Mytilus edulis: one gene and its partner. The protein of the gene in region 1 interacts with the protein of each later gene in a biochemical or structural test. Links are inferred from orthologs where the notes say so. Each region holds a gene or a part of one and is shown in the gene's direction. Other genes may lie near its edges.

Region 1 (4,507 bases):
GGCTTGTTTTCATAAGCCATTTGGTTGATAAAACGACCTCTTATTTTAGCTTTTTAGTAAGAGCTTACTGGTGTTGCACACCTCGATGTCTAACTGGTCTTGCACAGACCTCAGTCACTATTTACACGAAAGGTCTGGCACAGACTTCATTGTCTAGATGGTCTTGCACAGACCTTGCTCACTGTGTACACGAAAGGTGTTGTCAACACGAAAGGTGTAATGCATTTCACAGTATCTAGACACAATGTCGCTGTTGTGTCTAGAATTATAATGCATTTAGCTAGACAAAGGTTAAAATGACAGATTAAGCTATGTCACTTTTAAACTGTATGTGAATTTTAACTTGTTGTTCATATTCATGTTTCATGTTTTATCTTTACAAATTGTTGATATTTGTGGAATTATATGTAATTTGCTAATAAACTATGAAAACTTGCTAGTGTTAAGTTTTGCAAAGCCAAATATGAAGGATCAGAGACTCAGGATTCCTATACCTACTCTTTACACGGTCTGGGGTAAAAATATGTTAAAGTTGACACAGAAAATACACAACGTAAAAACCCCTCCGGTTACACAAGTTTGCATTGGTACGAGTTTTTTTTTAGTGGTACGAGTTGACGTTGGTACGAGTTTACAATGGTACGGGATAACTATAATTCAAATGTCGCTATTGGTTATCAATGCACATGAGTCATGATGCACAGTAAAACTGAAGGACCTTTGAGAATAGTCACACAATATCTGTTTTCAAACTAAAACGTATAATTAATATAGTGTATTTGTAAAGCATGTCTATTTGTAATTATAAACATGTCAATGAAAACCAAACGGATGTACATATGCATAATTTCTTCAGTGGTTTTTATGTTTATAATTTGTGACAGTCTGATTTTTACAGTACTTCAACTTCGTTTTGACTTCAGTGTTGCAGCTCTGGTGCTTTAAAACAAGAATTCGCTAACAATTAATTGTAATTACCATTTTCATACTATATTCTCTGTTATTATTGTCCTTTTATTCTCGATGATGTCATGGTCAGCAGCGAAATGACAATTCAAGAAAAGATAATCTATTATTGATTTTATAATGTCAACTTCCGGTTTAATATTGAGAGGCTCAAGAAGGGTTATTATTTGATCTATTAGATCTACCAGGTATTAAGTTGAAGTATTTCATGTCGAATAACCTTTTATGAATATGAGTAACTATAAATGTTCATTGGGTTTATTTTCTGTTACATGAATAATAAGGAAATAATAATAAAAATCGTTTATGCAATTTACTAATACCTGAGGATTTTTTTTAATTCTGGCTTTTGTGCTTGTCTATACAATTTTACTATATGTCTGCAACTACTTAACATAGTTTTAAAATTATTCGTTTCTTTCGTTAAACTATTCAAGAAATTTGAAATAGGGCCTTTGAGTCCTTTGAAATAATTATGAGTTTTTTTACGAGATATCAGAGCCAAGTTCGGGATGACAATATTTATATTTTTTAATTTTCCGCTGGGCTTTCACAACTTCCGGTTAATCTGGAGTGATTTCCCTTTGGAAATGTTTTTTATTTTGCAGTTTCTAGCTCTTTGTTTCTGATACAAGCTGCATAATGTAAGCATATTGACAGTTATACACTTCAATCAAGTATTTTTGTTATGAAGATGAAGGTTGAGTCCCTTTTTCATGACTAATAACATATTCAAAATATTTGGTTTGTGCTATTAAAAATTTCTAGCTTTTTGGGTCCAAATTATAAAAACAACTATTTTTTGTTATCATCTCCTATTATATATGTAAGTTCGTGGTCTAGTTATTTAGACTGATGTGTACAGTGCTGAAGGTTCTGAGTTTGTCTAGGGTGTTAAAATATCAGTACAACAGTGGTGATTTTAACCCTCTGACACATATCTCTGTCTCTGGTACCCAGACCGTAGTAAAATCTAGAATAGGTAATTAGGAGGCCTTAGTTGGTCAAAGTTTCTCTGGAATTTGATCTGGAGATCAATCTGCGGATATCTTTTCGGTACTGTTTTCTGCCATGCAGCCCGGTGGTACTTACAGAGTTCTTCGGCTTTCTCCACCATAATAACAGATTCTGCCCTGTGTCCAAACACTCCCTCATGTTTGGGTGGGAATTGTCTTTGTAAATATTGTTGTAAACATGTTAGTGACACATCTTCATTTATCCCGATAGGGAGTGAACACAGATTCCACTGTGCCTACATGTATGCAGCTCTCAAGGGGTGCTCCTTAAACCGAGGGATCTACATACACACAGTACCATTCAAACGGATCGATTCGATTTCCGAGTTTTTTGAAGCCACACAGAGTACCGCGGATTTCACTCCCTAATTCCTGCAAAGATTCTCTCCCAACTCCGCGTGGCTGTTAATTGGTTTATTGCCCATCGGATGTACTAAAAATTAACAAGGCGTAACAACATAATTGGATTAGCCAGATAATTTACCTATGTACATTTTGTACATTTAATCGATCTTGATTGCACAGGTGTGCTATAAAATCACGGTATTAAAATTTTTTAACAAATGTTTTCCTTCCTTTGTCAGATAAAGATGTGAAATTATAATTTAGAATAAAATAATTATTATCTTACAGGTTTTTGTCCCATGTCATTATCTTTGAAATAATTTTACCAAAAAAAAAATGAAGAAATTTATTTAAACTCAATTTATTGAGCAATGTAAAATATTATGTTTCACCACCTCGATACATTTATACAGACTTGAATAATTAAAATTAAGAAAAGAAACTGTAAAGTGACAACTCTGTTGAACAATTGGAATAACTTCAAGTGATTTTGCTAGTGTTCGTCATTTTCGTATTTTACGAAACGGTTTTCAAATTGACGAAAGTATTTTATATCAATTGCGTCATTTAAGTTTTGAAAATGTAAAAATATATCGCATTAAATTACTATAATTTTACCTGCCTTCATGTTTTTGACAAGTTTATGACACTCAGCCATTGAACGTTTACAAAAGATGTTAAAAGTTGTGATAAGTAATCTGCTTATCGCCATCCGATAGGTCACTAATCCTTTAAATATTATTAAACCTCAATTGCCCATCATAATATTCTGTTCCATATGAGCGTCACTGATGAGTCTTATGTAGACGAAACACGCGTCTGGCGTACTAAATTATAATCCTGGTACCTTTGGTAACTATTCCAGTTAAATCAGTCAGCGTTTCATTTTCAAAATTTCTAAATTGCCCACAGTTGGCAGTTTTTTATCATATTTTTGTCATTTGATCACAATTGATTCCCCCGTTCAATATCTCATCATAATTTCAATTTTTCATCAACCATAAATTTATATTATTGACCATGGACGTATAACTAATGTTCAGGTCTATGTCCTGTTTTGACCGATAATATAAAAAATTAAATAGCTAAAGAAGATGTGTTTTTGTTTATTCGGAAAAGAATTATATTTTAGATTAGATACATTTTGTGTAGTTAATCAATTGTTAAAGGACCTTGTGGAGCCTCAATAGAAACGCACAAAAATGTCTTTCTGCAACTTTTAAACCTGAATGAATTTTCCCACGGTCGTCCAGAAAGATCACCTGAGTTTACTGGTACGTGATATTATTTGCCGCCCTTTAAAAATCTTGTGCTGCGGATAAAACCAATGTTAACTATTGTTATACGTCTGCAAAATTGAAAATTTTTTGGTCGTATATTGGTATCAAGTTGGCGCCATCGTCTGTAGTCGTCGTCGTAGTCGGATGACATTTGGTTTTCGCACTCTAACTTTATTAAAAGTAAATAGAAATCTATGAAATTTTGACACAAGGTTTATGACCATAAAAGGAAGGTTGGGATTGATTTTGGGTGTTTTGGTCCCGACAGTTTAGGAATTAGGGGACAAAAAGGGCCCAAGTAAGCATTTTTTTTGGTTTTCGAACAATAACTTTAGTATAAGTAAACAGAAATCTATGAAGTTTAAAATTATGTCTATAACCACAAAAGGAAGGTTGGGATTGATTTTGGGAGTTTTGGTCCCAACAGTATAGGAATTGGGGGCCAAAAACAGGTCCCAAATAAGCATTTTCTTGTTTTTTGCACAATAACTTTATTAGAAATCTAATTATTCTGATTTAGGGAGTTTTGGTCCCAACAAATTAGAGGCCAAAAGGGTCCAAAATTAAACTTTGTTTGATTTCATCAAAAAATGAATTATTGGGGTTCTTTGATATGCCAAATCTAACCGTGTATTCAGATTCTTAATTTTTGGTCCTGTTTTCAAATTGGTCTACATTAAGGTTCAAAGGGTCCAAAATTAAACTTAGCTTGATTTAAACAAAAATTGAATTCTTTGGGTTCTTTGATATGCTGAATCTAAACATGTACTTAGATTTGTGATTATGGGCCCAGTTTTCAAGTTGGTCCAATTCGGGGTCCACAATTGTTATATTAAGTATTGTGCAATAGCAAGAAATTTTCAATTGCACAGTATTCTGCAATAGCAAGAAATCTACAAT
Region 2 (4,507 bases), on another chromosome or scaffold:
CGCTCGTTATAAATTAGCAATGCAATGCCATAATAGTAATTATGTAATATCTGTTCTCGTTGGAACATAAACAGTCTATTTTTCAGTCAGTAATACAAACTGTAATCTGCCATGTAATAATTTCTTCCGGTACCGTGGGAAATACATATATTTTTTTTAGAACAATTCATATATGAAGGAACTTCTGTTTTATGCGGGTCTGGAGGTGGGTAATCAGTCATATCAGTCTGTTTTCCTTGATTTTCAGGTCGTTTTTCTCCATTCTTTATATCTATAATCAATTGTTCTTTTTCTCTATATTTTGTATTTTTGCATCCCATTATTGAGGATCGTAATAGGGTTATTTCAAAGAAGAATAAATTTTTAAAAAATCATGCCAAATGACGTTAACGGTAAATTTTGGTGCATAACGATAACATGTATGTTTTCTGATTTATGACGATAACAAGTAATACTTTATCTGATAGTGACACAACTTGAAAAACAATAATATATATCACAACACCATATATAAATTACACTCCTCTGTATACACTACATAAGCATACAATGAAAGTCTGCATTGGCCATGTTGGCATAGGTAGGGTTTCTGAATAGATCTAAAACCCAGATAATTAGGAGCAGACATAGAAAATAATGGACAAAAACTAAAGTATAGTTAAAAATGACCCCCCCCCCCCCCAATTAAAAAAAGAAAAAGAGTCTGAAACTGCAGTGGACATGTTGAACAAAAAGTAGTGGCTATTTTGCCGGTTCCCGCAATGTAGCATCTAAGGTACTATTTAACCGGCTGCGACAAAAATAGCATCCTTAGGACTGTTTTTCCCGCTCGGGTTAAATAGTGATTTATATTAGAGTTTTGCTATTTTGCCGGTTTTCAAGTAAGATTTTTAGTATATAATTTAAGAATAGAAAAAAATGCAGTTTCAAAGAAAAAAACTATTAAAAAAAAATATGCCAATCATTTTTTCCAAGGACCATTAGAGACTGGAACCAACTGCCAACATCCGCAACATCAGCTGACACAGTTGATGGATTCAGAGCTGTCCTGAAGGCATGCTCTGCTAACATTTAGACAGTAACATCCTGTACATAGTTTTAATTGTATATATATAGACAGTGGCGGATCCAGAACTTTTCCTAAGGGGGGCCCGCTGACTGACCTAAGGGGGGCCCCACTCCAGTCATGCTTCAATGATTCCCTATATAATCAACCAAATTTTTCCCACAAAAGGGGGGGGGGCCGGGCCCCCAGCCCCCCTGGTTCCGCCTATGATAGAGAACGTTTTATCCTGTAAATAGCCAAGAGAAAACTTTCTGTGTTGTCCGACATTGCTTTAGTTTTCGCGGGACCTCATACATTCAAGATTTGAATTCGGTTCCTTACCTGGAAGAAGAAGAAGAAGATGCCTTTCATTGAAAAGTTTTACCTAAGGAAAGCCTGCATGCATATTTTTTTTACAATTAAGTCTCTAACAAATCATGTCTTCTTTTAAAAAAAATTAATACACGTTAAGCAAACCATGCATATTAAAATCGACATTTTTGCTATAGGCCTACGTACATTTCAATCAAAATATCCTATAAGTTTTTAAATCAAAAGTAACATCCAACCACCTTCAAATACTTTACAAGTGTTACAAACCAGTGCTTTTCTTTTTGTGTTTTTGTTTTGTCTTGCAAAATAATTTAATATTTATAGAGGAATGGAGTTACAAAATATCAACCTGTAAACACTGAACACAAAGAAAAGATAATTTACTAAAAAACATCACTAGGTTTACCACTCGGCCTAGGTTTGTCTAAACATGAATTTGCAACCATTTAATGGTTTCTACGTGTTCCTCCTTAATTTAACACCAGACTGTATCAACATGTCATCTGACTTTAGTTGCAATCAAAATTTGAGTTCTGACTTCATATCATGAGTCTGAAGAAAAATCTGAAATACTTGAAGATCCTTGAAGGCTGGCAAAAAAACATGTCTATATAAATCACTTATTTGCGGGAGCAGTGATATAGCAGAAAGGAGTATATTTTTTAGCGATTCACAAGACGATTATGTTATTTAGTTAATTGATCAGTGAAATTGTGTTGATCATGGTACGAAAGGTTGTAGGATAGAAGGTACGAAATGACCATCGTCTTGCTCCGCATTTGTTTCCAATTTTAGTCAAATACAACTTCCGGTTAAAAAAATTGCGGGTTGTTTGATTTTTACCAAAATTTAAGAAACATTGATCAGCAATATGCAAAGATCAGGAAGAATGAAAAAGGAACTAGAAATGTTATCTAAATCTCCACCATATGGAATATCCTGTTGGTCCAAGGATGAACGGATAGATCTGTTACAAGCGCGTAATTCACAATTTTCAAATAATTCATGTATGCAAACTGTGGAAAAAAGGGTATCTTATGGTTAAAATCTGCAAATGTTTCAACTGATTTTTATGTTTTATTCTGATGTTATGTATGTCACTGTCAGTATGTTTGTGATAAGTTGTAAAGTTTAACAGTCAGGGGTGGTACTTTAACAAGCATACATGTATAAGCATGATAAGGCACAAAATGTGCACCATAATTAATAACAGAATAACACTTGTAATGACCGAATACCACTTGAAATTTTAATATTATCACATATTGATGACTTTTAAACATTGATTATTAAATAATTGTATACCATCGCTGTATTTTATCATTTTATAGCTATAAAATGATTTACAGGAGTAGTAAAGTAAAGTAATCTTTATTTAAAATCGGGTTGCATATATACATAATAACAAAGAACATGAGCTCTTAAGAGCTCTTTAACCGACTGATATTAATAAACAAAACATACATGTAATAACATCAGATACACATACAACACAAACATACAGACATCACAAACATACAGACATCACATATATATACATATTAATACATAGATAGCACATGCAGAATAAAAGCTAAGCAAGATATATTAAAACAAATGTCTAATATCAGCACATATATAGTAGCACATAGTATTTATATAAGAGTAGCACATGCAAACTTAAACACTTTAAGCACAAACAAAAAAACAGGATGAGTTCATACAGAACTTTTACAATTTAGTGGTGACCACGGAAAACACAATGGCCGCCATGTTGGATGTACACACTATATTTTAAACGATCTTTATAAATTCAATTTCTTTCTTGAAATCATTTTTAAGTTATAAAATACATCGATAATGTATTATAATTTAATAATCAATGTTTGAAAGTCACCAATATCTGCTTATATTTAAATTTCAAGTGTTATCAGTCAGGGGACTTACTTACATGTAAACAAGTCCCCCATAAAAATCAAATGGTAGCTCCCTTACTTGTCCAAATGAAATTATTACTTGTCCAATTTTTTTATTTAAAAATAACCTTTTTACACCTTAAGTTGAATAAAGGGACAAAACGACAATAAACAATAGAATAGCATTTGATGTATTTCTTTTGAAATACTTTGCAAAACTATGAGTCAAGTACAACTGAATCTAGTCATGTCACAGGACTTAGGTTCTACTTTTTATCAATGCAAGTCTCATCAGACTCTGCACATGAGGCACAATCTGATAGGCCTGTGCACTCATTGAATTTGTATCCTGTTTTTTTTAAGTTGAAAAAAATTTATTCAAACATGTTAAATGCCATCAATAAAAAGAAGATAAGGTCTGATTGCCAATGAGAAAACTCTCTGCAAGAGACCAAATGACACAGAAATTTACAACTATAGGTCACTATATTGAACGTATTGTTTTTTCTACTTATGATCAAATATGATTTTTTGAATTTTATGGTGAAAAAAAATACGGGTATGGTATGTATTATAAGGAACAGAATAAGGTAGCCAAATGAGGTACTGATTTGTCTTGGTTTCGAAATGTCTCCTGTCTTTGCCAAACTGTCTATCAATCATGTCCTACGGAGCCAAACTGTCTACTAAACTTGGAGCTAACGTAAAACCTGTCGAGGTGACAAACTGCCCTGTAAAGTTACCTTATCTACAAAGCACATCATTGATTCGGATCAGTAAGACTGGTTTCAAAGAATAGTATACCATTTACCTTTGAAAATATACCTGACAAAGAACCAGTTAAAAATTATTGATTGCAAGTTAGAAAACATGTTGAAGAAAATGGTTTTGCATTTGAATAAACACAATACAGAAACATGTCAAATTATTATTTGTTTTCTTGTTTTTTGTTAATAAAAATTTTACTTTGTTCATCAAAGTTGGATTATTAAAATTTATTTTCTGCAGAATAATTGAACTTGTCCCGACGGACAAGCTTGGTACAGCTTTTACTTGTCCAACCTTTTTTTCCCTCTGGTACCGGACAATCGGACAAGCGTTATTGTCGAGGCCTGGAAAGGCTATTATATTTTTTTTCTTTGACGCCTTACGTCTATGGCATGTACATTGTATGTAAGGTGTCAAAGCAAAAAAATATAATAGCCTTTCAAGACGAATAATTATTTTGACTAGA

The links. The genes of interacting proteins can lie anywhere in the genome.
Region 2: the proteins of ubiquitin-like modifier-activating enzyme 6 (region 1) and ubiquitin-conjugating enzyme E2 T-like form a complex in vitro, tested with the Homo sapiens proteins (2 studies listed by BioGRID, with this or other methods). The link is inferred for Mytilus edulis from reciprocal best matches to the Homo sapiens genes UBA6 and UBE2T.

The regions. Positions count from the first base shown.
Region 1 is NC_092347.1:10,919,743-10,924,249, reverse strand, and holds the start of ubiquitin-like modifier-activating enzyme 6, read left to right. Parts: upstream 1-1,499; 5' UTR 1,500-1,610; intron 1,611-4,507. UniProt on the Homo sapiens protein: Activates ubiquitin by first adenylating its C-terminal glycine residue with ATP, and thereafter linking this residue to the side chain of a cysteine residue in E1, yielding a ubiquitin-E1 thioester and free AMP.
Region 2 is NC_092350.1:70,530,189-70,534,695, reverse strand, and holds the start of ubiquitin-conjugating enzyme E2 T-like, read left to right. Parts: upstream 1-2,182; 5' UTR 2,183-2,249; coding exon 2,250-2,358; intron 2,359-4,507. UniProt on the Homo sapiens protein: Accepts ubiquitin from the E1 complex and catalyzes its covalent attachment to other proteins. Catalyzes monoubiquitination. Involved in mitomycin-C (MMC)-induced DNA repair.